6 linked regions of the Canis lupus familiaris genome follow. The protein of the gene in region 5 purifies or fractionates together with the protein of the main gene of each other region. This does not show direct contact. Links are inferred from orthologs where the notes say so. Each region holds a gene or a part of one and is shown on either strand. Other genes may lie near its edges. The genes, in order: VCP, PRMT1, HNRNPU, RBM42, SERBP1 and DNM1L.

The links.
Region 1: the proteins of SERBP1 (region 5) and VCP purify together in Homo sapiens (affinity purification with mass spectrometry; 3 studies listed by BioGRID). This does not show direct contact. The link is inferred for Canis lupus familiaris from reciprocal best matches to the Homo sapiens genes SERBP1 and VCP.
Region 2: the proteins of SERBP1 (region 5) and PRMT1 purify together in Homo sapiens (affinity purification with mass spectrometry; 3 studies listed by BioGRID and IntAct, with this or other methods). This does not show direct contact. The link is inferred for Canis lupus familiaris from reciprocal best matches to the Homo sapiens genes SERBP1 and PRMT1.
Region 3: the proteins of SERBP1 (region 5) and HNRNPU purify together in Homo sapiens (affinity purification with mass spectrometry; 3 studies listed by BioGRID and IntAct, with this or other methods). This does not show direct contact. The link is inferred for Canis lupus familiaris from reciprocal best matches to the Homo sapiens genes SERBP1 and HNRNPU.
Region 4: the proteins of SERBP1 (region 5) and RBM42 purify together in Homo sapiens (affinity purification with mass spectrometry; 3 studies listed by BioGRID and IntAct, with this or other methods). This does not show direct contact. The link is inferred for Canis lupus familiaris from reciprocal best matches to the Homo sapiens genes SERBP1 and RBM42.
Region 6: the proteins of SERBP1 (region 5) and DNM1L purify together in Homo sapiens (affinity purification with mass spectrometry; 3 studies listed by BioGRID and IntAct, with this or other methods). This does not show direct contact. The link is inferred for Canis lupus familiaris from reciprocal best matches to the Homo sapiens genes SERBP1 and DNM1L.

The regions. Positions count from the first base shown.
Region 1 is NC_049232.1:51,940,371-51,945,301, reverse strand, and holds part of VCP (transitional endoplasmic reticulum ATPase), read left to right. Parts: intron 1-990; coding exon 991-1,102; intron 1,103-1,291; coding exon 1,292-1,464; intron 1,465-2,833; coding exon 2,834-2,976; intron 2,977-3,522; coding exon 3,523-3,653; intron 3,654-4,400; coding exon 4,401-4,532; intron 4,533-4,931. UniProt on the Homo sapiens protein: Necessary for the fragmentation of Golgi stacks during mitosis and for their reassembly after mitosis. Involved in the formation of the transitional endoplasmic reticulum (tER).
Region 2 is NC_049222.1:107,529,162-107,534,092, reverse strand, and holds part of PRMT1 (protein arginine N-methyltransferase 1), read left to right. Parts: intron 1-142; coding exon 143-196; intron 197-403; exon of another isoform or gene 404-501; coding exon of another isoform or gene 502-519; intron 520-750; coding exon 751-852; intron 853-1,633; coding exon 1,634-1,789; intron 1,790-1,930; coding exon 1,931-1,994; intron 1,995-3,796; coding exon 3,797-3,939; intron 3,940-4,707; coding exon 4,708-4,795; intron 4,796-4,900; coding exon 4,901-4,931. UniProt on the Homo sapiens protein: Arginine methyltransferase that methylates (mono and asymmetric dimethylation) the guanidino nitrogens of arginyl residues present in proteins such as ESR1, histone H2, H3 and H4, FMR1, ILF3, HNRNPA1, HNRNPD, NFATC2IP, SUPT5H, TAF15, EWS, HABP4, SERBP1, RBM15, FOXO1, CHTOP, MAP3K5/ASK1, MICU1 and NPRL2.
Region 3 is NC_049228.1:35,784,617-35,790,123, reverse strand, and holds the start of HNRNPU (heterogeneous nuclear ribonucleoprotein U), read left to right. Parts: upstream 1-1,721; 5' UTR 1,722-1,960; coding exon 1,961-2,651; intron 2,652-3,546; coding exon 3,547-3,658; intron 3,659-3,742; coding exon 3,743-3,816; intron 3,817-5,507. UniProt on the Homo sapiens protein: DNA- and RNA-binding protein involved in several cellular processes such as nuclear chromatin organization, telomere-length regulation, transcription, mRNA alternative splicing and stability, Xist-mediated transcriptional silencing and mitotic cell progression.
Region 4 is NC_049222.1:117,828,083-117,833,483, forward strand, and holds the start of RBM42 (RNA-binding protein 42), read right to left. Parts: upstream 3,815-5,401; 5' UTR 3,699-3,814; coding exon 3,577-3,698; intron 3,354-3,576; coding exon 3,209-3,353; intron 1,731-3,208; coding exon 1,646-1,730; intron 1,538-1,645; coding exon 1,463-1,537; intron 1-1,462. UniProt on the Homo sapiens protein: Binds (via the RRM domain) to the 3'-untranslated region (UTR) of CDKN1A mRNA.
Region 5 is NC_049226.1:43,516,758-43,521,688, forward strand, and holds part of SERBP1 (plasminogen activator inhibitor 1 RNA-binding protein), read left to right. Parts: intron 1-4; coding exon 5-182; intron 183-3,432; coding exon 3,433-3,606; intron 3,607-4,931. UniProt on the Homo sapiens protein: Ribosome-binding protein that promotes ribosome hibernation, a process during which ribosomes are stabilized in an inactive state and preserved from proteasomal degradation.
Region 6 is NC_049248.1:30,398,782-30,403,712, forward strand, and holds part of DNM1L (dynamin-1-like protein), read left to right. Parts: intron 1-67; coding exon 68-274; intron 275-3,128; coding exon 3,129-3,249; intron 3,250-3,467; coding exon 3,468-3,623; intron 3,624-3,869; coding exon 3,870-3,959; intron 3,960-4,931. UniProt on the Homo sapiens protein: Functions in mitochondrial and peroxisomal division.

The sequences.
Region 1 (4,931 bases), on a different chromosome or scaffold from region 5:
TAGTTTTCCCCAAATGTCATAGTCTTTGTGCTTGGCATTTCTGTGGTATATAGAATGCTCTGGAATTTAGCAGGTTTAGCCAGTAAGGATGGTAGTGCTAATGATTCTACTTCATTGTCCCCAGGCTTGGTGGGACTTGGGGCCTCCCTGAGTCCTACAGGAAGTTGTCTTGCTCACTTCATTCTCCAAGAAGGTTAGCAAAGAAGAGTTTATGCTTTCTTCTGCAGTGGTAATCATTGTGACCATTAATACCATGTGCCAGGCATTGTTGCATTCATTATCTCACTTAAGATAATTCTTTAAGATAGGTACTACTGTATTTGCTTCTTTTCAGATGAGGACATCATCATCCAGAGAAGTTAAGTAACTTGCTCAAGATGACAATTAAACAGTGGCAGGGTTGGGATTCAGACCCAGCAGGTCTGACTGCATAGCCCCTTCTCCTAATCACTGTTTCTTTCATACTAAGATTATTGTCATTTCTCTAATTGTTACTTAGCCTCTACTTTAAAAAAAAAAATTTATTCATGAGGGGCACAGAGAGAGGCAGAGACACAGGCAGAGGGAGAAGCAGGCTCCCTGTGGGGAGCCTGATGCAGGACTCGATCCCAGAACCCCGATCCCAGGACCCCAGGACCATGACTTGAGCTGAAGGCAGATGCTCAACCCCTGAGCCACCTGGGTGTCCTACTCAGCCTCTACCTCTATTTAGTCTTCTCAGGCCATAGTTTCCTGACTCTGGGGCAAGATCACTTGGGGCCTTAACAGCTAGGATACCAGTGCTCAGAATACTAAGAGATGCTGGAATGGGAATTGTATGTGCTAAATGTTACTCTTCGTGACCGTGGCTGAATATCCTTTATCTGACCTCTCTGGCATAGGGACAGCTTCATATATCCACTATTTCTTTCGTAAGTGTGAATTTTAAAGACTGGTGGGGTCCCTGGGACTGGAGTATGTATTGGGACTAAATTCATTTTCTCTTTTTAGTTCAAAAGGTGATGACTTATCAACAGCCATTCTTAAACAGAAGAATCGTCCCAATCGGTTAATTGTCGATGAAGCCATCAATGAGGACAACAGTGTGGTGTCCTTGTCCCAGGTAAGTTGGGTCAAAGGTTCAGTCTTTCCTTATTGCACTTAACCTGAGGACTTTTCCCAGGTTTCTTTCCTCATTTTTTTTTTTTGCAGTGACCACAGATAGAGTGGGGTTTACTGGGAATTCCAGCCTCCAGGGCTGCTGCCTACCCCTTGGCCCAGTGACCCAAAGGCCTTAACCTTCTTTTCTCAGCCCAAGATGGATGAACTGCAGTTGTTCCGAGGTGACACAGTATTGCTGAAAGGAAAGAAGAGGCGGGAAGCTGTGTGCATTGTGCTTTCTGATGACACATGTTCCGATGAGAAGATTCGAATGAATAGAGTTGTTCGGAATAACCTTCGCGTACATCTAGGGGATGTAATCAGGTGTGTGTGGGGTTCTTAGCCCCTCAGGGATGGGAGGCCAGAGACAGCCTGAATTATAGACAGGACTAATGAAGTTCTTGGCAGCTACCCATAGCAGAATCCTTCTAGCCATGGGAAGACTTAATATAGCAGGGCTATCTTTAGGTTTTGATTCTGCCTCCCTGAGACTTCAGAATTTACTTCTGCATGACCCTTGGGACAAGTTGCATTTCTGTGACTTCTGTGATACCTTTACTTATTTTTTTTGCCAGAGGTATGATTTATAACATGCTGAACGCTGGTTTAGGATACCATTTGAGAGTGTCTATGAAACAATCTCACTGTTATGTTGAAATAATGGCTTGTGTTGGGACCAGAATGAGGTAGGAGTGTGGGCATAGAAGGCGAATTTCCGATTAGGGTTTTTTTATGGATCAAAGTTAATATAGAATAGAAGCATAGTTTGAGTCAGACCCTGAATAGCTTCAGCTTCTATCTGAGTGATTTTTTTTTTTTTAAAGATTTTATTCATGAGAGAGAGAGAGAGGCACAGACACAGGCAAAGGGAGAAACATGCTCCATGCAGGGAGCTCGATGTGGGGCTCAATTCTGGGACTCTAGGATCCTGCCCCAGGCAGAAGGCAGGAGCTTAATCACTGGGACACCTAGGGATCCCCAATCTGAGAGATTTTAAACTTAACTTTAGGCAAGAAGCTTTCCCATCTTGGAGTCATCACTAGCCACAGCTATCCAACCCCCTGTCAGGAACATCTGAGACTGGCCAGGAACATCTCAGACTTCTGATTATTTTTAATGGATTCTAGATTTCATGTAGCCTTCTGGAGGTGCTTAATCACGTCAAGTTTCTCTGACCACCTGGCTGAGATGACTTTTTTTTTTTTTTTTTTTTTCAGTTTTATTTTTTTGATCCTGATACTTGTCCCACTACGGCCTCCGTAATTTTGGGTTACTAATATTAGCCAAATGGGTCATCTTTGGATATCTCTCACTGAAGATCCTTGCTCCTATTTCTTCATTTTGGGGGCTTTACATGTGTGGGTCTTCCTTTTGGCTCACTGATTGGGAGTGAGCAGCCCCATTTTAGTTCAACTTTAAATTTACCTAAAAAAAATAAAATTTTAATGTAAATTTGTAGCTTCTTCTAATGGCTCCTACTACTGCCCTTCCCCCAAGTATGACTTGGTCTTAGTTCTGTTTGGCTGCTCTTTTGTCCTCACTCTCACTCTGCCCTCCTTCCTCTCTTCACCTAAAGCCATCCCTACCTTTTTTCTTTTACTTGCCGTCAGCTCTCTGTGCCAGGCACTTTCAGACGCCCAGTGTTTGGGGCTACATTGTGGTTGGTAATGTGGAGTCTGCTTGTCATCCTCAGCATCCAGCCGTGTCCTGATGTGAAGTACGGCAAACGTATCCACGTGCTACCCATCGATGACACGGTGGAAGGCATCACTGGCAATCTCTTCGAGGTATACCTTAAGCCATACTTCCTGGAAGCTTATCGACCCATCCGGAAAGGTGAGAGATAATTCTAAAGACTGAGCTTAAGGATAGTTGTTTGTAGGGATACCTGGGAGTAAATCTTGGAATGTCTTTATCTCATTCTCATATGTGTGCTTACACACACATTCTGCATACACGCTCATGTGTACTCTCCTTCCTTCCTCCTCCTTCCCACTCCTCCATTTCCCTACTATCATTCCCTGCTTCAGTAGAGTAAGCTCTCTTCTCCTTTGTCCCAGAAGGAGGACTTGGGCACTTTTTGGCTGTGTCACAGTCCAAAGTGTATTTAATATTTAGCACAGTCTGATCATCTGTGGTTGTTGTGAAAGCTTGGTTACCTATAGCCCATAAGATTTTGTTCAGTGTCCTCTTGAATGGCAGAGGGACACTTCACAGTTTAGCTTTCTCCTCTTGCCTGATGCTTAATAAGGTAGAGGTGGGAAGGGGAAAGGGGCAGTATCTAGTGAACTTGGCATTTTAGACAACAGGTTCTGGTGAGGAACTCTCACTTGCTCTGGTATTTGACATCTCTGACTGCACTTGTGCTAATTACTCTCACAGGAGACATTTTCCTTGTCCGGGGTGGAATGCGTGCTGTAGAGTTCAAAGTAGTGGAGACAGATCCCAGTCCTTACTGCATTGTTGCCCCAGACACAGTGATCCACTGTGAAGGGGAGCCTATCAAACGAGAGGTGAGTTCTCTCCTTTATCCCAGTACCCAATTTCATGATTACAAAGTGGGGCGGTCATATGGTAACTACTAACTGTGAGTGCTCTTTGGGGGCACCTGGGTGGCTCAGTTGGTTAAGCATCTGACTCTTGATTTCAACTCCGGTCATAATCTCAGGGTTGTGAGGTTGAGCCCTGTTTTGGGCTCCATACTAGGTCTGGAGCCTGCTTAAGATTCTCTCCCTTTCGCTCTGTAGCCTGCTCCCTCCGCCCCTGCTCCCACCCATCTCTGTCTTCCTCTATTAAAAATAAAACTGAGTGCTCTTTGGAACTAAGCTTTTTTCCAGAGGTTGTGAAAATGTTTCAACTATTCATTTCTGGGCCTGTGTGTTTCTAGAAGTATATGATACCAGTAATTTTTAAAATCCAGATTGAACTCAAAAGATCTAAGTGGTTGGAATAATTTTTGTAGAAGTGACATTGATGATGGCATCCAGACCTCTGTCTGTTTCCCAGTTTCTAGCTTTAGTCTTAGGGTGGTTCTTTCCAGTAATACTAAGGGCAGTGTAAAAGGGAAAGACTATGCTGAAAATCTTTGCTTTGGGATTTTTAGAATTGTTCTTTGAGTCAGGATCCCCCTTAGAGGAGAATCCTCTCGTAAAATAGGTTTCTCTATACCAGATTGTAGAAGGATTTGGCGAAACTCAACTTTTGCTAATAATAATAATATTCCTGCCTTTTTTTTTTTTCTTTGTCTTCTCTGTATTCAGGATGAGGAAGAGTCCTTGAATGAAGTAGGCTATGATGATATTGGTGGCTGCAGGAAACAGCTGGCTCAGATAAAGGAGATGGTGGAGCTACCTCTCAGACATCCTGCTCTCTTTAAGGCGATTGGTGTTAAGGTGAGTATCCTGGGACATAATGTAGGCTGGTAATTAACAAAGACTCGGGTCAATTCTTGTTGCATTATTTTTTATATTATGGTTATTTAAAAATGTAAAAACCATTTTTATCTCACGGACCCTATAAAAACAAATCTCATCATAGTTGCCTACCTGTATGTAACAATGTCACCCAAGAAAAGTTTAAGGAAATTTGCAGTGTGTGAAGGGTCCTGAATCCAAAACATGTGAGAACTGCAGACCTACAATGTGACTTCCTAACTGTTCCATATCATGGGCACAGTGAAGATGAAATTACCCTCTTCTCTAGTATGTACCATACAAATAATTTTATCTTCTATATGGGCATTTCCCATGTGCAGCCTGTGGATAGGCCATAAAAAAGACAGCTTCAAAGAG
Region 2 (4,931 bases), on a different chromosome or scaffold from region 5:
TACTCCCTCTGCCACCACTCCCCACCAAGGAAAAAGAAAATTGCAGGAAACACCCCCTCCCCTGTGAGCTGGGGTCCCCTGGCCTGGCCCTCCCCTAGCCACTCCCAGTAGCTAATCCTTTCTCCCTGTTACTCTCTCCTAGAATTTTGTAGCCACCTTGGCTAATGGGATGAGCCTCCAGCCGCCTCTTGAAGAAGTAAATATCCTTTTGTGAGACCCTTCCCCACATACATATATCTTGCCACATTATCAGGCCCTTTCTAGCAGGCTAACCATGATTTCTCTCGCTTCAAACCAGTTTACCCTGTGCCCCCAAACCGTTAGTACAAACCACCCTCCAGGTCTGTGGCTCCCATCTGGCCTCCCCAAGTACCGTGGCTACTTCCTTAACTCCATTTCCAGCCCCCCCACCTGCCCTTCCCGTGTCTGCCCCAATTCTGCCTTCCCCTCCCCTCCCCAGCTGTGGGCTGAGCTAGAGACGGGGGCAGAAAGACTGGAGAGATGGTAGGCGTGGCTGAGGTATTGGGGTGCTCCCTTGGATGGTGCTCTGGGGGGGTCCTGGAAGAGGAAAGTGGGGTTGTAAGGTTTTGGGGCTCGTGGGGGAGGCAGGACGGCAGGTGGGGCCTTTAGGGTTGCCATGGTATGATTGGGGGGAGGATCTGTTCTCCAGGGAGAAGTAGGGACCTGGAGGTTTAAGAGGCCTTGGAGAGCCCCCAGATTTAACCTCTGCTCCCGTCCACCCTCTCCCAGGTCTCCTGTGGCCAGGCAGAAAGCAGCGAGAAGCCCAATGCTGAGGACATGACGTCCAAAGATTACTACTTTGATTCCTATGCTCACTTCGGCATTCACGAGGTGAGTGTGAACAGCTCCTAAAGCTGCTGGATCTTGAGGGGGTTAATGTTTGGGAAGGCTGGGGCTGAATTTCCCACGCATGCGCACTGCCTCCCCTGGCAGCGGGCTTGGCCGCCCCTCTGGGTGTGAGGCACACACCCCGGGGTCGCCTCTCCCAGCCGTTGCCTTGGAGACGGAGCTTAGCCTGGCGCTCCTGGGAGGCTGGGGAGGGGGGAGCACCCCTCAGCCTGCCTGAGACTGCGGAGGTCAGGGCCTGCGTGTCTCTGCCGCCCTCTAGTGACTGGCGGTGGGACTGTTCCCCCAACCGCCCCGCCTTTGGTGCGCTGGCTTCCCGACCCTTTTGCACTGAGGTCCCAGAACGTGGTCGAGATGGGACTCTGAGAATTTTTTTCTTTTCCTTTCTCTTTTTCTCTCTTTTTTTTTTTCTCTTGCTGAGACCTTTTCTTTTCCAAATTGTGGTAAAATGCACGTAACAAAATTTACCTCTTAAGTGTACAGTCTAGTGGCGCTAAGTTCTGGATAAAGCCAAGGATCACTGCGGCTTGGGAGGCAGTGGTAGAATCAGGCCAAGCTGTTAGTCCCTCCGGTCTGGTTTTACAAACAGAATAACTGAGGTACGCGGAGGAAGGAAAATGATTTGTTCCAAGAAGACGAAGCAGGAGGACTGAGCTCTAGCTTTCCAAAGTGCCAGTGTGTCAGAGGCCAGGGCACCCCATTTTCTAGCTGGGGGCGCAGGCCCCTTCATGGCATGTTTGTATCTTGTGCCCGCTCTCCCTGCCAGGAGATGCTGAAAGATGAGGTGCGCACCCTCACCTACCGAAACTCCATGTTTCACAACCGGCACCTCTTCAAAGACAAGGTGGTGTTGGATGTGGGCTCGGGCACAGGGATCCTCTGTATGTTTGCTGCCAAGGCTGGAGCCCGCAAGGTCATTGGGGTGAGTGTCCTGGGCAGGCGGGTGGGCCAGGGCCAGGGGACAGAGAGGGGCCCCTTAGGGCTCAGGGATTGGACGGAGGGGAATGGGGGCTGAGGGTGGGAGTGGGGGGGGTCTCACCCTCCCTTCTTCCTGGGCCCCCAGATCGAGTGTTCCAGTATCTCTGATTATGCGGTGAAGATCGTCAAAGCCAACAAGTTAGACCATGGTGAGCCCAGGAAGAGAATGGGTTTGTGGGATGGAGTGGGTGACCGCCCCGCTTCCCCGGGGGCCCTTGGCAATGGGGTGGGGGTCGTCACTGAACACAGATTCAGCTGTTTCTCCCACCATGGGCCCTGAGCTGCTGGCAGCCTGGGTATCCCACCTTCCCAGAACCTATAACCAGTAGTGACGGGCATGCTCTGCCCTTTTAGAAATTGAGTGGTGAAGTCACAAGTTTAGTGCCTTACTCATCAAACACTAGGGCAAGAAGCAGTCTTTAGTTCGTAGAGGCATGTGGTTGACACCCGAGGGTCCATGGTGAGAGATCTTCCAGCTGCCCTTCTAAGTTCAACCCACATTGCCTTCCAGAGAAGTCTGCACCTACGAGCACATACACGTGTAAATGTTATCACGCTTACATGCATGGCTTCTACATAAATAGCATTTCACGCAAGCCTTTTGCCCTTTACTTTTTCCACCTGCTCATCATGTAGTTTCACACATTTTGAGATGTGAGAGGCTCTTAAAGACCCTTTTCAATGACCATTGTCTGCATGTACCCCAACATTTTTGATCAGGCTCGGGGGGCGGGTTTTCTAGCCACTCCTGAGATGCTCATCCTTGAGCCTGTGATGTCATTTCATGTATCAGCTAGGGGAACTGGGAGGTCAGTTTATTAAAGGAGGACTGCTTGGGTCAGAAATGTTCTTTGTGTGAATGTTGCCACGTGGCTTTTAAGTGCCCATCTGCCAGGTTCCAGAGGCAGAGAATGTGGGAAGATGGTAGGTTTTTCGGATGTGGAGGCTCCTAGCATTTAGAAAGTGAAGTGATTATTTATAAAGATTTTATGTATTTGCTTATTTGTTTAGAGAGAAAAACGTAAGCAGGGGGAGGGGCAGAGGGAGAGGGAGAGAGATCTCAAGTGAACTCCCTCTTGAGGTCAGAGCTCCCAAGTGGTGCCCAGTGCCATGACACAGATCATGATATGAGCCAAAACCAAGAGATGCTTAATGGACTGTGCCACCCAGGCGCCCTGAAGTGATTTTTTAAAGAGATTAGCATATATATATATATATATATATGAGAGATTAGTATAATGAACCCCCAGATACGCATCACTTGGCTTTAAATACATCCATTTGAAGCAAATTCTAACTGTGATGTCATCCTTCTGCAAATCCCACTGTGTGTGTGTGTGTGTGTGTGTGTAATAGAGCCTTTCAAAAACATGACTGTACTGTTAATGACAAAGTCTTATTATCATTTAATACCTAATCCACTCAAAATTTCTGCTTCTGTCTTAAAACTATCCAGAGTGATGAATGCACTTCAAAACAGAGTTAACAGGGGATCCCTGGGTGGCTCAGTGGTTTAGTGCCTGCCTTTGGCCCAGGGCATGATCCTGGAGTCCTGGGATCGAGTCCCACATCGGGCTCCCTGCATGGAGCCTGCTTCTCCCTCTGCCTGTGTCTCTGCCTCTCTGTGTCTCTCATGAATAAATAAATATAATATTTAAAAAATAAAAAAATAAAACAGTTAAGAGAGGGGCACCTGGCTGGCTCAGTCTATAGAGTGTGTGACTCTTGATCTTGGGGTCATGAGTTTGAGCCCACGTTGGGTGTAGAGTTACTTTCAAAAAAGTAAAAAAAAAATCTGAGTTCAGAGTATGGCTTCAGCTGACAGAGTTCTTTGAAGAAGCCCACATGTAGCCCCTAGCCTTTCCTTGAGAAGATGGGCTACCCCCCAGGGAAGGCAGGCGGACGTGTCTCCTTAGAGCTGGTTGCATGTCCCTCTCTGTGCCCCCTACAGTGGTGACCATCATCAAGGGCAAGGTGGAGGAAGTAGAGCTTCCGGTGGAGAAGGTGGACATCATTATCAGCGAGTGGATGGGCTACTGCCTTTTCTACGAGTCAATGCTCAACACCGTGCTCTATGCCCGAGACAAGTGGCTGGTGAGGCCCCTAGTGGGGCGGGAGTGGTTCCTACAGGCAGGGCTCCTCCTCCGACTGTGTGCAGGACACCTGCCAGTTGGGATCTGGGCAGAAAACCAAAAGCTGTGCTAGGTATTTCCCACACAGGGGACTTGATACAGGGGATTGACCGCTCAGATGTTGGAGGGTCCAAAGCCAAAATGGGATGTAACAGGCAGCAGTGTCCAGGAGACAGAGTCATGAGGTAGTTGGTGCTAGGAAGAAGATTGTAGCAGGGCAAAAGATGGGGAGAGGCTAGAGGGCCATGGTTCCAGGTGCTCAGATCCAAGCAGGCCTCCTGGTGGGGGGAGGTCACAGACCTGAACAAGGGGAAAGAGCTACATAAGATCTGGGGCAAAGAGGAACTGGTGCAAATGTCCTGGGGCAGGAGTGTTTTTACTGTGTGTTGAGGAATAGCAGGGAAAACAGAAGGGAAGGAGTGGATGGGCCTGAGTGCCTCCCTGTCCTCTCCACCATGAGACTAGTTTTCCTCTCAGGAGCCAGGGAGGGTTCTGCAGAGCCTTTAGAACCTATGAAGGACAGCCCTGACTTTGGTGCTGCTGGATGCTGCCTGGCAGCCATGTGGAGAATAGATGTGGGCATGAGGGCAGAAGCCAGGAACCAGCTAGGAGGCCATTGTAGGAAGCCCGGTGGCTCAGACCAGGGTGGGGATAGAGACCCAAGTTGTTGTGGTCTGGGGGCACGGTTCCAAGGCCCCCCCCTTCACACCCTCACCTGACCCCTTGGCAGGCACCTGATGGCCTCATCTTCCCGGACCGAGCCACGCTGTATGTGACAGCCATCGAAGACCGGCAGTACAAAGACTACAAGATTCACTGTGAGCTGGGGGGGAGGGGGGCATAGCAGCTTGAGGTGGGGGGGAGGCAGGTTTGGCCTGGGCACCCCTAATGGGCTCACCCCTCCTCCCTGCCTGACACCCCAGGGTGGGAGAACGTGTACGGCTTTGACATGTC
Region 3 (5,507 bases), on a different chromosome or scaffold from region 5:
TCATCTACTCTTACATTTCAGGTTTATTGTTACAACTGACAACATACCAAGAACCATTGTCATAAATTGACATTTAGACATAGAAACTTTCATAGTTTACGTATTCTCAATTAAATGGAAATATTTTTCATAACACGAATATTTAAAAATGTAAAACTATCTAAGGACACTTATAGACTCAAAGAAGCATCATCATAACTACATTTAAACTTTGATTCATGAAGGGACTAATTATCCAGTTTGTGAACCTGTAAGCCCCTGTAGCTCTCTTCCCATTCTTTGCAAAGAATTTGAAACTCCAGTTTGTGAGTTGTTTATAAGCTCCAAGGACATCGTAACCAAAGGCCAAATGAGTTTTTGGCACTATTTGGAAGTTCCTATTTTGGGTGCCTTCCCCCTCCACTGACTTTCACCGAGAATTAGCAGTACTGTACATACTCCATTAGTTAATTTCAACTGTCATTCCACAGATGTATTTCATCTTTATGACGACTGAGTGGTAAAACACATGGTTCTTGGAAGCTATGGAGAAGAAACTTGAAAAAATAAAATGCATTCAACGGTTAAATCATACTGGCCTCTGCTAGTATTGCTCCAGTTTCAAGTTAACATTCGGGGCAGCACTACTCCAGCTCCAGCACCACACAGTGGGTAGGACTGAGCTCTCTGATAGTGGGACGTTGTCTAGTCACTGTGCAGGCTTTCTTGGGGGTGTCGCATGCGCCCCTCTATCACGTATCTAAGTGCTGGCCCCCTGTGCGCAACCTCAAGAACCTAACATGCCTTTTATTTGGGAAAAGGGAAAAATCAAACTTCTAAAACACACCCAAATACACAACAGATTTCGGGAGCCGATTGTCTCTTTTTTCTTTCTTAGAAAATCCCGGCCCTTTGACTCGTCCTGAGCTCTTACTGGCTTCAGCACGACTTATGGGGGGTGTTCCTGCGGGGGGGGGGGGGGGGAGAGGCGGCGGAGGGCACGATCCGGGGGCGTGAGCTCGCGGGGGGCCGTCTGGGCGGGCGGACGTGCCCCTCCGAGGCTCGCCCCGCTCTCCCGCCCCGGGGCGGCCGGACCAGCCCTGCCATCCGGGCTGGGGAAGAGACAAAAGGGATGCTCTGTCCTCGCCCTTCCCGAGCCTAAAATCCAGGGCGCAGGGCAGGGCCTGGGAACATTCCACCAAATGCGAGACGGAAGGCACCCCCCGCGGGCAGGGCCTGCCCGTCCGTGCCGTACACATCAACACGGAAATAAGATTTCGAGGCGTTTTAAGCAGCGGGCTGGCGAGCGAGAGAAAGAGGCAGGCCCATCCAAGATGGAAGCAAGGCCGAGGGCTCGGGCGGAAGCCGCCGGGCCGGGGCCGGGGCCGGGGCCGGGGCCGCCGGGCTCTGGGTGCAGCAGCCCCGCGCCCGGGGGCCGAGAGCGAGGCGAGGGCCGCCAGCACCCAGCTCGGGAGGCCGCCCGGCTGCGGCGGATCGCTGTAACCGAAAGGCGGCCCCCCTCCTCCCCCAGCTCGGCCCCGCGGGAAGCGCACTGCGCGGCCGGCGCCGCGCTCTCGGCGGGTTGGGCGTGGGGGCGGGGAGGGCAGGGCGGGCGGGCGGGCGGGGGCGGGGGCGGGGCGCGGGGGCGGGGCCCCGCGGCGCGGGCGCGCTCCCCCCCGCAGCGGAGCTCCCGTCAGCGCAGGGGGCGGGGCGCCTATATTACGTGCGCGGCGCCGCCCCTGCGAGAGGACGTTGCGTGCTCGCTCGCGCCAGGCGAGTCTCCGCGTCTCCCTCGCGAACTCGGTGAAAGGAATTGGCGCCGTTCGACACCAGGCGGGTCCGCTCTGCAGCACGAACCCACCTCTAGCCGCAGCCGCAGCCGCCGCCCGGGCCGAGGAGCAGCCGCAGCAGCCGCCACCAGTGGCCGAGGGAGCGGAGCCGAGTTTGAGCCAGCGCCTAGCGGTGAATCGGGGCCCTCACCATGAGTTCCTCGCCTGTTAATGTAAAAAAGCTGAAGGTCTCGGAGCTGAAAGAGGAGCTCAAGAAGCGGCGCCTTTCCGACAAGGGCCTCAAGGCCGAGCTCATGGAGCGCCTCCAGGCCGCGCTGGACGACGAGGAGGCCGGGGGCCGCCCCGCCATGGAGCCCGGGAACGGCAGCCTAGACCTGGGCGGGGATTCCGCCGGGCGCTCGGGAGCAGGCCTCGAGCAGGAGGCCGCGGCCGGCGGCGACGAGGAGGAGGAGGAGGAGGAAGAGGAGGAGGAAGGGATCGCCGCCCTGGATGGCGACCAGATGGAGCTAGGAGAGGAGAACGGGGCCGCGGGGGCGGCCGACGCGGGCCCGATGGAGGAGGAGGAGGCCGCCTCGGAGGACGAGAACGGCGACGATCAGGGCTTCCAGGAAGGGGAGGATGAGCTCGGCGACGAGGAGGAAGGCGCGGGCGACGAGAACGGGCACGGGGAGCAGCAGCCTCAACCGCCGGCGACGCCGCAACAGCAGCCGCCACAGCAGCGCGGGGCCGCCAAGGAGGCCGCGGGGAAGAGCAGCGGCCCCACCTCGCTGTTCGCGGTGACGGTGGCGCCGCCCGGGGCGAGGCAGGGCCAGCAGCAGGCGGGAGGTAAGAAGAAGGCGGAAGGCGGCGGAGGCGGCGGTCGCCCCGGGGCTCCGGCGGCGGGTGAGTGCTGCGTTGTACGTTGCGCGCGGCGGGAGGCCCGCGCGGGGTGGGGACCGTGCCCCAGGCCTGCCGGAGCCCCGCGGGGGGGAGGGGGCGGGGGCCGCCGCGGGGGAGGCGGGGGGGAGGGGGCGCGGGGAATCCCGCCCGGCCGCGAGGCCTCGGCGGCCTCGGGCTCGGCGTGTGCGACGGCGGCGGCGCCTCCATTATGTGGCTGGAGGGCCGGGGGGTGGGGGTGGTAGCTGCAGCTGCCGCTGGAGGGGGAGGAGCCGCGGGCGGCGGGCGGGAGCCCGGTCGGCCCGCGGTGGCGCCGCTGCGCTGCGTGCGCGCGGTGCGGGCACATGTCTCGGGGGGGGGAGGGGAGAAGAGAGGCCCGAGGGCCCGGGGCGGGCGCGCTTTGGCGGCGCTGGGCCGCGGTATTGTGCAAGGAGCGCAGGGGCTCGGCGTGACGTCACTTCCGGCGGGAGGGGCCGGGCGGGGAGAGCGGGGCGGAAGATCAGTACAATGCGGCCGCGGGGAACGCGGGCCCGGGTGGGGGAGGGGAGGAGGGGAGGGGCGGGCGCGCGGGCCGGCGCGGCCCCTCCCCCCTTCCTGAACTCTCTCCGGGATCCACGTGGGCTCGGGGCCGGGGCCGCCCTGGGCTCCGGGAGCTTTCTCGAATCTTCGAAGAGGCTGGCAAAATTAGGAATGTCTTTAGACTGCGTCACTAGCTCCTGGCCGGTTCCAAGCTGATTGTTCTTTGAATTCGCGTTGGATTCGTCGGTTGAAATCGCTTGCAGAAAAGAACGGGGGAGTTAGGAGTATTTGCGTTCCCCAAACAGGAGGGGGGATTTTTTTTTCTTTTTCCCCGGTTGCGTCGCGGCTTGGCCCCTTATGTTAGGGGTGTTGTGTGTTATAGGAGACGGCAAAACAGAGCAGAAGGGCGGAGATAAAAAGAGAGGGGTGAAAAGACCTCGAGAAGATCATGGCCGTGGATATTTTGAGTACATTGAAGAGAACAAGTATAGCAGGTAGAGGATGCCGATCTAGTTTTACCCGTCCCCGTTCTTTCTGGGGTAGGAAAAGCTGAATCAGGAGACAATTCTGTCTTTCAGAGCCAAATCTCCTCAGCCACCTGTTGAAGAAGAAGATGAGCACTTCGATGACACAGTGGTTTGTCTTGATACTTGTAAGTGAAGCTGTTTCTTCCCTTTTCTCCCCCGGTTACTAAATGTGGCGATTTTGGTGCCAAAATGTTAGAGAACTTAAACGCAGTGTGCTGAATTTAAATGCAGAATACTTAGCGTAAACCGTTTACCTTTTTTAAAGGAGGGAGACGAAAGGTTTTATTCAGATTCTGGTAGCTAAATGTCTAATACAGCATCAATTGTGTCGTATTGATAATTTTATAGGCTCCAGCAATTTGGTGTTATTTTTTATATGATTAGAAAGTTCTCATTTATAGGAATGTAAAATTAATGGCAATTTTTGGTTTAGTTAGCTAATGGAAACTTGTAAGACAACCTGTAACTTGTCCTTTTAGGCTCCTACGATAAAGTAATTTAATTTTTTTGGTAGCATTTTATTAAGTGAGCTATTTGGGCTAGTTAAATACGTATTAATGATTTTTTCCCATTAGCACACAAGTATATTCCCTATTCTAAAAGATTGTAATATTACTTTTTCAATAACTGCTCTTTTGTTCTCAATTCCAGTTCAGTAGCTGCTGCTTTAACATAAGTTGATTTCTTCCAAAGACCTGGGGCAGCAGCAGTGGGCTATCACTGGGCTACTAGCTTTCTTCAGCAGCGAATGGTATCAATGGCAGCGCTGTAAATACTGCTACTTTACCCAGTTGGGTTGCAATTGAGTATGAGGAAGTATTGCAAACCTCTAAATGGGCCTTGGCTGTCAGATATGTAATTTTGCATAAAAATACTTTGTTCAGTATTTGATCAGAATGCACAGCTCTTTCACTTTGATAAATAGAGCTTAGAAATAATGGCTTGCTAAGTAGGTGGTCAGGTGTGAACCTGCCCCATAGATCTAGGGAGTTAAAGTTTAGATTTCCGTGTTTTCCAATACAAATTATTTTTAGCAAGATTTGTGAGAATGTAAATGTTAACTCTTGAGTTCGTATTAAATACCCTTAACAGGTAGTTGAGCTAAGGGAATCTTTTAAAAGAAAAGAAAACTGCACGTGGAAAAATCTTTGATGTGAGAGTTTTATTTTAAATAGTTCCATTGCTTTTAAATATGACTAAGTTGGAATTGGCAAGATAGTGAAGCAGTGCTTCCAGAAGTGACGCTACCGCCCAAGTAGATGGGGTTTTAGCTGATTACCTAGGAACATCAACTTAATTTGTTGCTATCTATATTGGGTTCAAACACAGTTGGTCGAATTGAAAATTCTGTCAGTATTCTTGAGAGCTAAGCTCATTTAAGGAGAATCCCAAGCTGTAGATCTAATTTCCTGTCATCAATAAAAGCATAAGAAAACGGGTTTTTAACTTGTGATGCAAACTCCAAGAAGGTGCATGCTAATGAGCCACTGACCCAAAGATAGCTAGGTTAAGGACCTTTCTTTGGGATTTGGGTAATCCTCGAAGGGATAATCCTCCGTTGTTATTGACTGACCCTCTGGCCTGGGGAAAAGGGAGCTAAAATGCTGTAATATTAACAGTGTCCGACAAGCAGGTTTGCATTTGGCTAGGTTGAGGCTGCCTTCTTCACAGTGTGAGAACTTAGGGTCTAGAGCCCCTGGTGTTTTAAAATCACAAAGCACAGGATCAACAAACAGCTCACACTCCTGTATTTAAAGTGTGTGGTCATGGCCTCCCTTCAGTTTTATTGTGGCACTGGTAAATTCTACCTGGTTCT
Region 4 (5,401 bases), on a different chromosome or scaffold from region 5:
AGATGCAGGAGTCTTTCCATTCGTTCATTCAGCAAAAATTTACCACTGAGCATCTCCTCTGGGCCTATTCCTGTCCTAGACAATACTAGGGGCACACCAAAAGACCAAAGGCTCTCAGGGAGCTCCTGGTCCAGAGTTGGAGGGAACAGACCCATCACCAGAGAGTGACAGACCACAGTGATCAGGGCCAAGATGAGGTAAAGCCCAGGCAGGGTGACTGAACTAGGAGGGTTAGGCCTAGGGAGTGGTAAGAACCCAGGGGAGCCCTCTAACCTAGCCAGGGTGATTAGAGGCTTCCTGAAGAAAGAGACCTATGAACTGAGACCCAAAGGATAATAAAGACCCATTGCCTTTAGTCAGGCAAAGGGTGATTGTAAAGACTACTGGCAAGGAGAACATTTATAAACAAAAATGTTTTCACTTTTCAGTTGAGTATAATTGTAATAGCAGAAGTTGAAATCTGGAGAGCATCATTAAGAGAATGGTCAAGAGCTCAGCAGGCATCCAAGCATAGCCTTGTTGACTGGCTATGGATGTCCTCCTGAGGGCACTAGGGAGTCACAGCAGGGTTGGAAGCTGGGCAGGGTGACTAGGTCAGATGTGCATTTTGATCAAACCCATAGTAAAGAATAAGAGATGTTGAGATTTCTTAGATAGATAAAAAAGTATAACAGGACTTAAGTAACACAATTAACAAGTTTAATTTAAGAGAGATTGTACCTAAACTTTACAGAACACGTATTCTTTTCACACATACAAGGAAGCAGTGTCACAAAAATTGACTGTGTGTATGAAGGTCATCTTGACGATAAAAGTAAGAATGACCTGTGGAGAGGACAGATTTTAGTTGATTTTGGTTAACTTGAATCTGCTTTAGTTAATAGGCTTTGAAAGATTTTAGTTGGGTGACAGTGAGCAGAGGAGAGAAGAGAGATCAATAAGAATATTATGGGCATATTCCAGCAATGCTTAGGGTTCCTGGGAAGTCTATGGGGGTCTCTCTGTTAGGGACCAGGCAATGTGGGGTCTTGACTGCCAGGTGATGAGCTTAGTGCTTATTTGATAGTTTATTTATCCCATCAACAGACAGCACGTAACGCTTACAATGTGGCAGGCACCAAGACTTTTGTCCCTCATGGAGCTTGTATTTTAAAGGAAACAAAAGATAATAGCCATAACAAAGAAATCCTACAACTTGTTATAAGGTATTAAGTGCTATGGAGAAACAGCAAAGAGTAGGGATTAGGAGTAACAGTAAAGGGATAGGTTTGCAATGATCAAGTGAAGCCCTACTGGGGCCAAACTGACAAGCATATGATCAGGTTTGTGCTTTAGGAAGATGGCAATGTCAGAGCCGAGATGAAACGAGGAGGGTGAGTTAGTGCAATGATGTCGGCAAGATGCTGCGGTAGTCAAAACAAGAGTGCTTGGTTAAATGTGGGGTTCTTGGCCCCAGACCTACCTGCTCGACGCAGGAACATAGCTTCTCGAGCCTCTGGACTGTCCAGGTGACTCCGATCACCAGGGCCAAAGCCAACTGTTGGAAGAGGAAGAGACAAGGCTGGTGGGAGGAGAGTCCCAGGCATCCCTTTTGATCACCCTGCCTGACCCCCTGGCTCCTTCTCCTCCACTGCTCCTTACTTACCTGGACCCACAAAAGGAGGGCCACCCACCATCGGAGGAACCACTGTGGCTGCAGCAGCTGCTCGGGCCTCCAGAGTCTGTTGGACCTGTTGGGGAGGAAATTAGGGTGAGTGGCCTGACTTAGTGCCCCCAAGCTGCCCTGGCTGGCTTACTCTGAGAGGCCAAGGGTTTCATTCCTTGCATTTTGTGTATGGCTGGCTATCCATCAACTTTAAGTCTAGGTTAAAATATCACTTTTCGGGATGCCTGGGTGGCTCAGCGGTTGAGCGTCTGCCTTCGGCTCAGGGTGCGATCCCACGGTCCCGAGATCGAGTCCCGCATGGGGTGCCCCGCATGGAGCCTGCTTCTCCCTCTGCCTGTGTCTCTGCCTGTCTCTCTCTCTGTGTCTCTCATGAATGAATAAATAAAATATTTTAAAATAAATAAATAAATAAAATATCACTTTTCAGGGAGACTTTTGAGATCACACTAGTGAAAGCTGTCCTTAGCCCCTCCCAGTAGCAACTTCTCTTGTCATCCTGTTTCATCTCCTTCAATGCATTTAGCACTATCTGGAGTTATGTCCAGCCTGTCCTTCGCATCTCCCATGCCATCACCCTGGTCCAAGCCATCGTTATCTCTGGTCTAGATGATTATTGTAGCCTCTTCTTCAGTCTCCGTGACTCTGCTCTGGCCCCCCTATGGTCTACTCTCCAAACAAGCTATAGTTAGTTAATATCTAAGTTGGACCATATCACCCCTCTGCTCAAAATCCTTCAACAACATCCCATCTCAGAGCAAAGACCAAGGTCTTTATGGTGGCCCACAAGGCACTACCATGTCTGGTCTCTATCACCTCTCTGTCCTCATCGTCTCTCACTCTTCCCCTTGTTCACTCTACTCTAGCCACACTGTTCTCTCTGTTCCTTGAACATGTCAGGTATGCACCTGTCAGGTATGCGTCTTGCATTGGCAGTTGTCTCTGCTGGGAATGCTCTTTCCCTAGATATCCCCATGGATATCTTTCCGTAACTGTCACCTCCTCCGAAAGGCCTTCTCTGACCATGCTGATAAACCTCTGCCTTTTTTACTCTACCCTGACTGACCTGTCTGTCCTTCCTCAGTAAAATGTAAACCACAAAAAGATAGTGATTGTTTTTCTCTGTACTGTTCTCTGCTATGTGCCCGGTGCATAGAAGGCACCCAATAATTATTTACTGACAGAAGGAACAAGTTTCTTTCGTTTTCTTTCAGTAGTTTCTCTCTCCACGTCATATACAACTTTCTATTGAGCAGGTGAATGTGACTAACGAGACCGAGGAACTATTTAACTGAAATGTAAATTTTAATATGTACAGAATACTTTTATCATTACAGAAAGTTCCGCAGGACGACATGCTCTAGAATAATATGCTCCCAAAGGGCAGAGATATTGTTTGCTTAGTTGTTACTGTGTTCTCAGTGCCTGGCACATGAAACATCTGTCACGCTAATCAGTAAGTCCACATGCCAGTAGCTGTCTGTATACAAACACCGTGTTCCAAGCGCTGTGCTCTCGGATTTCCATGCCTCAGCTCAGCCATACCTGCTGGTAAGTGTTGGTTGCGATAATTGGGCGGATCACAGGAGCTGCCGGGACCTGCATCGCTTCCACCGTGGGGACCGTGGGCACCGCAGGCACAGCAGTAGGGATGCCGGTTACCGGAGCCCCCAGAACTTCCTGCTCAAACCTGCGGGGGCAAGACCGACACCACAGCTCAGGACCTCGCATTAATTCTGAAACGCGACGGCGCCTTCGCCCCTGCCAACCTCCGCTTCCTCCCGCCCCCACAATCCCGAAAGTCCCATTTCCCCACGACAGAGCCATGTCGGGCTGATTCCGGCCTGGAAGCTCCAGGGCTCGGTGGCTCTGGCTCTGGGACGGTTTTTATCGCGCCCTGTCGCGGGCCTTACAGGGCCATCTCCGCCTCCATCTCCTTCAGGCGTTCCTCCCCGCTCTTGCCCGGCATGCCGGCGCCCGGGACCACAGGTCCTCCTGCACCCGGGAGTCCCGGGGCTGGCCCCGCCCCGGCCATCGCTGCAGCCGTCGCTGTCGCCGCTACTGCCGCCTCAGCTCAGCTGCCTCCGCCAGTTCCGCTGTCTACTCTCTGGTCTTGTCGGGGTGGGCGCCCGCGATTGACGTTCGGCGAAAGCGACGGCGCTGGTGCATGACATCATGCGGAGCGAGGCCAATGAGAATAGGGCCGCACCTGGAGGGCCCGCCCCGGGAGGAATATAAACCAATCAGAGTGGCGGAAAAAAGGAACCAATGAAGAACCTGGATCTAAGTAAGTGCAGCCAAGCGAGGCGACCACACCCTCATTGGAGGAACAAGGGCTAATGAGAGCGCTGTGAAGTCGCTGGCCCCATCCCTAAAGAGGAAAGTGGACCTTTGAGAGCTCAGAAAAGTTCGCAGGCTCCGCCTGTGCCACCGAAGCTCCTTCCGGAAGCTTTAACACAGGGAAGTCCGCAGCAGCCCGGGGCTGGGCGGGGCTAGGCGGGGCTGGAGGCGGCTGGTTGCCGAGCGCCTCCCCTCTCGGGTAGACGGGCTCGCACACCGCCGGGGACTCCCCGAGAGACGAGGGTCCTGGTGTGGGGAGGGGCTCAGAGGGGCGCCTGACCCGGGCTTTCTGCCGAGGGTGACCTCTGAAGACTTGCTGGACGGAAATGGAGAGAGAGTTGTGGGGGGCGGGGGGGAGGAACAGTTCCTGCAGAGGCCGAGACCGCAGTAACATGTCAGCTCAGAAGGTCACGTGGGTAGGTCTGGTCTCCGTGGCCTTTGGGACGCCGCGCGTCCCTCTTCGTCGTCTTCAATGTGTTGTGTTAGGAATATTTAAAATACACAACACTAGAGAATATAACGAACCTCCACCTCTCAGCAATTACTCATATTCTACACTTTTTGTTTCACGTATTCTCCTCATTGATATTATGATTTTGCTGGAGTATATTAAATTCCAGACATCGGTCAGTTCACCCATAAATGCTTCACGATGTCTCGCTAACAGATAAGGACTATTTATTTATTTTAGATAAGGACTATTTAAAAGAAAAAAGCATTTCACACCTAGGAAAATTAAATAATATATATATTATTAGATGATATATGTATATATATATCATCTAACACCCAGACTGTTCAATTTTCCCTGCCGCAGAATGTCTTTGTGTAAAATCAGGCTACAAATAAGGTATACACGTAGCATTTGGTAGGTTGGTGGAATTTGTGTGTGTGTGTGTGAAAACTTACTTTTTACTGGCTGTCTTGGTTTCTTGAAGTTCCAAGTCTAAATCAACACTAATGAATCCTTTGTGAAAATACTGTCTTTGGGGATCCCTGGGTGGCTCAGCGGTTTGGCGCCTGCCTTTGGCCCAGGGCGCGATCCTGGAGACCCGGGATCGAATCCCACGTCGGGCTCCCGGGGCATGGAGCCTGCTTCTCCCTCTGCCTGTGTCTCTGCCTCTCTCTCTCTCTCTCTCTCTCTCTGTGTGACTATCATAAATTAAAAAAAAAAAGTAAAAACAAAAAAAACTGCTACGCACACACAAAACCAAATGGTCAACAAAACATTCTCCTTTCCTTCTGAAGGTTTCACAATGCATTGTTATCATTAACTAGTCTTTTACTATTAAACTTAAATGGCCAATTGACAGTTCTGAGACCGTTCTTCCACCACCAATTAAGACTAGGGTGGACAGGTATTGGGGATAATATTCATTTAGCCTTCTGAGCTTTCTG
Region 5 (4,931 bases):
GCAGGGAGAACGAAGTTGAAGAAGTAAAGGAAGAGGGTCCAAAAGAAATGACTTTGGATGAGTGGAAAGCTATTCAAAATAAGGATCGGGCAAAAGTAGAATTTAATATCCGAAAACCAAATGAAGGTGCTGATGGGCAGTGGAAGAAGGGATTTGTTCTTCATAAATCAAAGAGTGAAGAGGTAAAAAATTAAATTTTGTGATGTCTGAAAATGTGCAGATGTTTATTGAATGGTATTTATACTTTTTCAAAACATAGCTAATCTGTTTATAAAGAATAAAAACTTTACATAGGATCATTTGGGGTAGATAAGATGCTCAAAAAGGAAATAAACTGCATTACCATATATTTCAAGAAAGGTAGTCCTTCAGTCAATAATGTATTTAATGTGGTGGTTTTGTTGTTTTTTTCTAGAAAGCAATCAGGTGTTTATCATACAGTTACTAGTGTTTTAGAAATAAGGTAGGTCTTTTCAAAGTTGTGATAATATTTTTAAAAATCTTGCCTAACTGAATTGTTGAAAGGTTTGCATTTTCTTATGGTTTAACCTAAGACCGTAGCTTCATCAGTATTCAGTTTTCAGTTTTTCAAACTCTCTGCCTGTCATTTATAATGATCAAGACTCTTTAATAAATGATGCTGTACTTATTGAGGACTGATGTCTTAATAAGAACCAGCAAAGTAATTTACTAATGAAAATACTTGAGAAAGGTATGTTCGTGGTTTTTGATTGGGTAACAATCCCTGGAGCACGTTATTAGAGGAAAGTCCCACTGCTACATCATTTAAGGCTTATGCAAGTAGGAGATGCTAATCATAAAGTTAAATTGAAATGTTACTAAGGCAGTGTAATTAAAAGATTCAATGAGATATTGCGTCTTCATTTTCTAAACAAATAGCTGTGAAACAAACTTGGAACATTGTAAAATAAAGGTTGAGACACTTATGGTTTAGAAATTATTTTTTAACAACATTGACTCCATAAAATAATATAAACAGGGATATGTTGTAAAGTGCGAAGTCGTGTCGGAAAAGACGTTTTGCTTCATTTGAATGCTTTTGCTTATTTAAAAAAATTTTTTTTATAATTCTTGCAGATAGAGTTGTGTATCTGGGTTAAAGTATTCTTGATTAAAGAAACAATGAAAATTCATCTTGGGGAGATTGTTAATTTGTAGAAATGATTAAACTGCTTAGGTTAATATGGAAAAGATTTACTTAAGGTACCTTTGGCATAATTTGTAACTTTTTTGAGGTCTTCTCCAAAACAAGACACATACACAAAATACTGATACATTTTTCTTGATTCATTAATTACTCTGAAGTCTCTTCATGCATTTTGTAGACATCAGGTTAGGTATCATATTTTTACATTGAGCTTCTCAGAAATAACCGTTATATATAATTAGAAAGTTTTAAAATTAAAATGTGAAATTGATTATGAATAACTGAATTAGGGTATTAATTGACAGAGCTGAAGCCAAAGCTCTTATTTCCTGATTATCATTCACTGCTCTAGAAAAAAAACTTTGCAGATTTATCCTACTAGCTGTCTTAAAGGGATGTTCACCAACATTTAAACTTCCTCTATATTATTGTAATAAAACCTTTGAGGTGTTTCAGTAGTATATCAATTAGGCTTTTTTGCTTCTGTTTCCTAGAAACTTAAATGCTTCTAATTAATGAATTGATAATACTGTTTTGCAATAGCAAACAATTAGTATGTATAATTGACTTTGCAGGTTTTCTGGATTTACATTTAAACATTAATTTAAATTGACTTTATATGTGTGTGTGTGTGTGTGTGTGTGTGTGTGTATATATATATATATATAAAGAGCTTATTTATTCATGAGACACAGGGCGAGGCAGAGACACAGGCAAAGGGAGAAGCAGGCCCCATGCAGGAAGCCCGATGTGGGACTCAATCCCGGGTCTCCAGGATCAGGCCCTGAGCTGAATGCGGTGCTAAACTGCTGAGCCACCCAGGCTGCCCTAAAGTTGATATTTTAAGAAGAACCGTCTACTGCCTTTAGATTGGCTTAGCACTAAGGAATGACAATTAATTTGGATATTAGACAAAGGGGCGAAGACGCAGATATAAAATTCATTGGTACTTAGAGTGAGTGGTAAGTTATTAACAGTTGTGGTGTTACAGGATTTAAAAAGAACAAAATGTTCATTATTCCTTCAGAAAAGGATTGTACCTGCATTTAGAAAAACTAAAACACACTCCAAAGTACTATAAGAAAGGTTTGGAACTAGAAGGTGAAAATTTATTCATTCCAAACATACAGGAAAAAATTAGGAATTAAGCAGTGTAAAATTGTCCGGCTTTTGTTTTGTTTTTTTTACAGAGTGGGTGGTATACCTTATATATAAATACAAAGGAGGACCTGGATTTCACAAATATGTTGACATTAAGGTTACCTGGCTGTATTTAAGGCTTGGATTTATTTGTGCTTATAGCTTTTCAAGGTTCCCTGATTTCACTTTTGAGTCTGTAATTCTGCAATTTTCCCAAGTCAGACTTAGAAGAGTGCAGACCCAGAATTTTCTTTAAAACTCACAAAGTGATTTAGTATTAATCCCTGATACAGACCTCCCGTGCAATCTATCCAAAAGTCTTCATCAGGGGTTCACATTGGAATCTAATCTGAAGGACATATTTAAAATGTACTTACCCAAACTTCACTAAAGATTATGATTTGGTAGGTTTCAAATGGGCCCTAGAGACTTGAGTGGTTGTGATTACATACCTCTGATCAAGACTTGCCAATATCACATGTAGTTTATAAAGTTAAAAGTGAAAGGAACTCTTCCTTTAAGATCACAGCTGATCTCCAAGTTTACATATTACCTTAGTGGTATTGATATTTTTAAATTATCATTTGTTGTATTTGTTCACGAAGTACAGATTGGATTTTTGGTTTTTTTTTTTTTAATGTTTTTTTTTTTTTAATTTTTATTTATTTATGATAGTCACACAGAGAGAGAGAGGCAGAGACACAGGCAGAAGGAGAGGCAGAGACACAGGCAGAGGGAGAAGCAGGCTCCATGCACCGGGAGCCTAACGTGGGATTCGATCCCGGGTCTCCAGGATCACGCTCTGGGCCAAAGGCAGGCGCTAAACCGCTGCGCCACCCAGGGATCCCTCTTTTTTTTTTTTTTTAAGCTTTTATTTATCCATGAGAGACCCAGAGAGAGGCAGAGACACAGGCAGAGGGAGAAGCAAGCTCTTTGCAGGGAGCCTGATGTGGGACTCGATCCCAGGACCCCAGGATCACTCCCTGGGCCAAAGGCAGACACTAAACCGCTGAGCCACCCAGGAAATCCCGATTCTTGGTCTTTTTAAGAGAAAGCTCAATAATTAGAAATTTGCAGTGTTGCTTTCCTGTTAATCACCCCATGACCTACTCTTAAATTTTTAGGCTCATGCTGAAGATTCGGTTATGGACCATCATTTCCGGAAGCCAGCAAATGATATAACGTCTCAGCTGGAGATCAATTTTGGAGACCTTGGCCGCCCAGGACGTGGTGGCAGGGGAGGACGAGGTGGCCGTGGGCGTGGTGGACGTCCAAACCGTGGCAGCAGAACTGACAAGGTAATTTTAAGAATTCTTTTTAAAGTAATTTGAGGACCTCTTTTGGTAAATCAGTGCCCTGGGTCCTTTTGGGGCTAGGATTAGAAGGAAGAAGTAGTTAGATATACCTTCAAGAAATTACATTTTAGGCTGTATTTTTGCTTAAAAGCACTTAAATTGACTGAAGAGTGCTTGCTAGTAAAGTTAAATTTTCACTTTTTTGAGTATTTGGTGCTGGTCATGGTGGTGTGCTAGGTATTTTATGTACTATGGCATTTCATTCTTGTTACTATATTGATATCCCCATTTTACAGAAGAGGAAATTTAGGTACAGGGAACCAAGTTAACTTGAGCTTTAGCTAAAGTCTACTTGAAATGCCAACTATCTCCTTTGCCTTGACTCTTGGCTACATTTTTGAGTATCAGTGTAGCATTTGTGTGCATAATTGTGTGACACTAACCGGATGATTATTGACACTTTTTCAATAATCTAGAAAAAACTAGACTGCAGTGTTGAGAGCTGGGATTCATTTTTGTCCTCCCTTTATAATTTAATGCCTCATACAGTGTATATGACAGGTTCTTAAATATTTTTATAGAAGACCTAGTGATTGATAAATTTTTACTCTGATCATTTGATGCCAAAGTATATGCTGTTAATGACTGAAATTAAAGTATTAGCAGTAACCTTTGCGTTAGGTTAATTCATGGTCTCTGTCTGGCTAGGAAACCAGTGACGTCCTCCTGAATTCTCAACCCATGATATGCAAATTGGGGACCTGATTGAATCTGTCAGTGTATTATAGTGGTAGCTTAATATCATAGAATGGTCACCGGTAATAATGGAGTGATTTCTTTTTCTTCATCTGAACATTAGGCTTTTTAAAGGGTCTGTGTTGTGTGTATGGATCTTTTAATACATTTTTGTTGTTACTTGTTCTTTGATTGTAAATAGCAGTTGGGTCCCTTCCTAACATTGATGAATGAATCATTATATATAATAGGTTTCTTATGCTGCTTTCAAATTGATGCCATTCTTATTTAGCAAGTGAGGAGAATAAAATACTAAAAAAGAATCCACATACATCCGTCATGTGAATCTACCTGTGTGATTTATTAGAAAATTAAACCCACGATGTTATTAAAGAATTTTCCTATTTTTTATTTTTTTAAGATTTTATTTATTTATTCATGAGAGAGATAGAGGCAGAGACACAGGCAGAGGGAGAAGCAGGCTCCATGCAGGGAGCCTGCCATGGGACTTGATCCTGGGACTCCAGGACCATGCCCTAAGCCAAAGGCAGTGCTAAACTGCTGAGCCATCCAGGGGGTTCCCCCCCCCCCCT
Region 6 (4,931 bases), on a different chromosome or scaffold from region 5:
TGACCTGTTTGGGTCTTCAGAATACACAGCTTTACTGTAAGAATCCTTTCTTTCTGACCTTTGTTAGGTTACTGATGCATCACATCAGAGATTGCTTACCAGAGCTGAAAACCAGGATAAATGTTCTAGCTGCCCAGTATCAGTCTCTCCTCAATAGCTATGGTGAGCCGGTCGACGATAAAAGTGCTACTCTGCTCCAGCTTATCACCAAATTCGCCACAGAATATTGTAACACTATTGAAGGAACTGCAAAATATATTGAAACTTCAGAGCTGTAAGTAAAACATTTCTCTATGGGTTTGCTTATCTGAAATGCTGGGTTACTTTTGCTTTTGTAACAGTGACTTTAACTCTGAGATTTTCTGATCATGATTTGTTATTTGCAGAATAGTGTTTTGCAGAAATAATAGGATGCTGTCTGACATATGTGTTAAAATGCTTTGTAAACTAGGTAAAGCACAGTAAATTTGTTTTTTTTTTTAGACAAGACTTTGATAAGCATTTAAATATAATTGATAATTTAACTTTTTTTTTTTTTTTTGATAATTTAACTTTTTAAATATTTGTCTCTTTAATAGACACACTGATTTTTCATGGGGAAAAAAAAAGAAAATGCAGACAAAAAGAACAGAAGGACAAAATGACTTAATTCCACTATCCAGAAATAATCCCTGCTAATTTTGGCACGAACTTAGACGTTTTTCAATGCAATGATAAAATATTATAAATGCCTGTATTACACATCTTCAAAAATCAGATCAAAACACTATCATGCTGTTTTGGAATCATTCCTTTAAATCATTGTGTCACAAACAACTAATATTAATTGTACATTTCTATTACCAGTCTTAAAATTTACATAGTATTTTGCTTTTTAGATACACCCTAATGTCTTGAACCAGTACCCTACTACTGATAGTTTCATTTAAATATAAACAGTGTTTTGATCGACTATTTTGGGGGCATGAATCTGAGTAAACCCTTAGGCTAAATTCTTAGGATGGAATTACTATATCAAAGGGAGAACATCCTAAAAATCCCTTCCTGTTGCCATACTGTTAGTGGATTATATTGTTTTACTGTTAGCAATATGTAAGAATGTTCATTTATCTGAACTCTCACTTAAAAAAAAATTTTTAATTTTGAAATAATTATAGACTTTCAGGAAGTTGCGAATAAATATGCCTTCCTAGGTCCTGTTAATCTTTCACCCCATCTTCCCTAGTGTTGACATCTTGCATAACTGTAGTACAGAAACAAAATGAGAAAATGGACCAAGGGTACAGCCCACAGAGCTTATTCAGATTTTACCACTTGTGAAATTATACACACATTGGTATGTGTATTCTGTGTACTTTTGTGTGACACAGGTGGCCTGTTATGTGAGTTAATTCTGTAAAGACAGTATTTAACTAATTACTAATTAATTGGTGAATGGTTAGTCATATTATAATATATATAATATTAATATATAATATTATATATATTATATATATAAACATATGGCATATTGAGGGGAAATACAGATTACTAAGATGAGCCTTTGAAGCACTTAGTGGGTAAGGTAGAATAAGATAACACAAGGCATGATTCAGTGGCAAACAGGTGTATAATCAAGTATTTTTATTTAAATACTTATTTAATATACTGCATATCTGGAAAAGTGCTTATATATGGGGAATTTTTTTTATATGGGGAATTTTATAAGTAGTTAATAAAGCAGATATCTGTGTAATCATTTAAGCCTTAAAACATTGAGGAGAGATCATTTACATTTCTCTGAGAGACTGGGTAAGTGCCATAGTTAAGAATGTGTTCAGGTTGGGCTCTGAATAGGATATAGGGAAGCAATAAGTAGAAGAGTGTTTTAGGCTTTGGGACAGCAAAGAATAATGCAAAAGGTGTATTTGGGGAATGGCATGTACGGTGGCAGGACATAGCAGGCAGTTAGGCAGCAAAGGCATCTGAGAACAAGATTGTGGAAAGTCAGGTATCTTCAGAATTTAGAGAACTTCCTGCCATAGAAAATAAAACACTTTCAGTCAGAGGAGTACCCATTTTAGAAGGATAATTTTAATTATTATGGAAAATTATTTGGAGAAAGGATCGGTTGGAGGCAAATGGATAATTTAACCATTTTTAAGTGTGGTTTAATAGCATTTGGTTACAGTCACAATATTGTCTAAGCATCAGATGGTGTCTATTTCTAAAATTTTCATCACCCCAACAGAAACTCTGTATTTCTTTGTTCCCTCCTCCTCCAGTCTCTGGTAACCTCTAATTTACTTTCTGTCTCTATGAATTTGCTAATTCTAGATATTTTATATGAGGGGAATCATATAATCTTTGTCTTTTGTGTCTGGCTTATTTCACTTAACATAATGTAGGTTGGTACCTTCTGCTTAGACAACGGTAAGAAAGTAGTGGATAGTAGAGATTTAATTTGTTTAAGGCAGAAGAAAACTGTAGCCCATCGGCCAAGAAGGATTTTTACATTTTTAAATGGTTGAAAAATATTCAAAGAATATTTCATGACATGTTAAGATCCAAATTTTAGTGTGCATAAGTTTTACTGGAACACAGCTACGCTTATTTGTTTGTATTTTTGTCTATAGCTGCTTTTGTGCTCAGTAGTTGAATGGAGTTGTCGTGGCAGGGACCATATGGCCTGAAAAGCCTAAACTATTTACTATCTGGCCCTTTACAGGAAAAGTTTGCCTATCTTTTCTCTAAATTGTGAATAAACAGAAATAAACAAGATATCATTTCTTGTCTTTTAAAAAGCTCATAGTCAAGGAAACTAAGGGCAGAGAAAAGATGTTTAATAGTTCTTAGTTACCTAATGTTTTTGGACAGACCATTATTCTGTATGTGTGTCTGTGTGCATGCAAACAAATACATACATGTGATGGATGCCTTTTGTGGAATGACTCTTCTTCATTAAAAGAAAAAAATTACAGAAACTGGTTCATAATGGAGTTGAGAACACATGGAAATGATCTAAAAGTAATTGCTTATCTGAGACTTTATCAGACAATAAGACCTTAAAAGCTTATAGAAAGGCTTCTGACTTGTAGCTTCTTTCCCTTTTAATAATAATAGAAACCATATACTTCATTGCCTTTCAGATGCGGTGGTGCTAGGATATGTTATATTTTCCATGAGACTTTTGGGCGAACTTTAGAATCTGTTGACCCACTAGGTGGCCTTAACACCATTGACATTTTGACTGCCATTAGAAATGCTACTGTGAGTATGCTCAACTTTTAGAAATTTTTTAAAAAGTTAAGGATTTATTATAATTTTTAACCCATTAGCTATATCTTTAAAGGAATTGTATTTTTGCCCTCATACTTAATATCAGGAAGCACTTTTCATGAAAAATACCAAAAAACATGATTTATTTTAACTTAGGGAAGAATTAAAATTTAATATAGCTATAATAAGAGCTCAAAAAATTTTTTTAGGGTCCTCGTCCTGCTTTGTTTGTGCCTGAAGTTTCATTTGAGCTATTGGTCAAGCGGCAAATCAAACGTCTGGAAGAACCCAGCCTGCGTTGTGTGGAACTGGTTCATGAGGAAATGCAAAGGATTATTCAGCACTGTAGTAATTATAGTACACAGGTAACTGAGAAATGTAACGTGTCAGATTAAGTAGTAAAAGACGGGAAGTGGTGGTTTTGTGGATTGGGAGGAAGTATGTAAGATGGGCTAAAAATAAGTTAAAAATCTGCATTTTTCTGTATCTGAAAGTGATTTGAAGTGTAATGCTATATGTTGCTTAAAATCTAATTCAGTATTTTGGTGATTATTTAATTTTCCTTTAAACAAAGTAGACCGTTAAATTTTTCTTTCTTCTATCATTTATAGGAATTGTTGCGGTTTCCTAAACTTCATGATGCCATAGTTGAAGTAGTGACTTGTCTTCTTCGTAAGCGGTTACCTGTTACAAATGAAATGGTGAGCTGCTATTTTCACAAATCATCATGGTAACCACTAAAGAAATTTTTTTGTATAGCAATAGGAGTACTTTAGAGTTTAAGCCATGTTTTCCAGTGTATTGGGAAGAAAAAGAAGTAAACTTCACTCTTATTTCAAAGGACACAAGTAATTCTGGCATGAAGTATAGTTTTCTTCATATTTTAATCACTGTTAGCCTACAGCTCTAGGTTTTCATAAGAATGGAGTTAAGTGTTGACGATTGTGATTAGCTTTGCTATACTATATAGCACCACTGATCTAATGGAAAATTAGTTTAATAATCAGGCCCGGTAAACTGAGCTTTTATATGGCAAACTATTTTAGCTCTAGTACATCAGGGTAATTTGGCCACTTGTAGTTTGCTTGTTTGATGATGCAACACTGTAATATCATGGTTGCTTGCTGCTCTTTTCTGGGTTACTGCTATCCTTAAAAATGCTGAAATTGGCAAAAATAGGGGATAAGCATTTGAAATCGCCTTATGTCTCTATGTGTTGGCTGGGTGTTTTGTTTCCCTTTCTGGTCATTAGAAGTGCATTTGGATCCTTGGCTCAGGATGGTGGCGAGTCCCCATGGAGGTTTACAAAGAGTACAAAACCATCCCTGGAAGTACAGAATGTGAGCGCTGCTGTTTGGCGGTTTCCCTAGCGAGTGGAACCCCCAGACTGAGAGGAGCAGGATATGGTTAGCCTGATCTCAGTGTCTACCCAGTGACAGCACAGAATCATTGGAATTTTATTTGAATAGATGCTTTTCACCTTGGTTCTTGATGTTTTAGTACTCATCTAATACCCAATTTGTTAAGGCAGACAGCTGAAGGAGTTAATCTCTCTGCAATGCTGGGGAAATTAATTTCAACTTTCCTTTTTGATTATTATCCTGTTTTGATTATTGTTATTAGGATTTCAGACCACATACAATATTTAAACTGTGTGTCTAAGGCTAATCAGT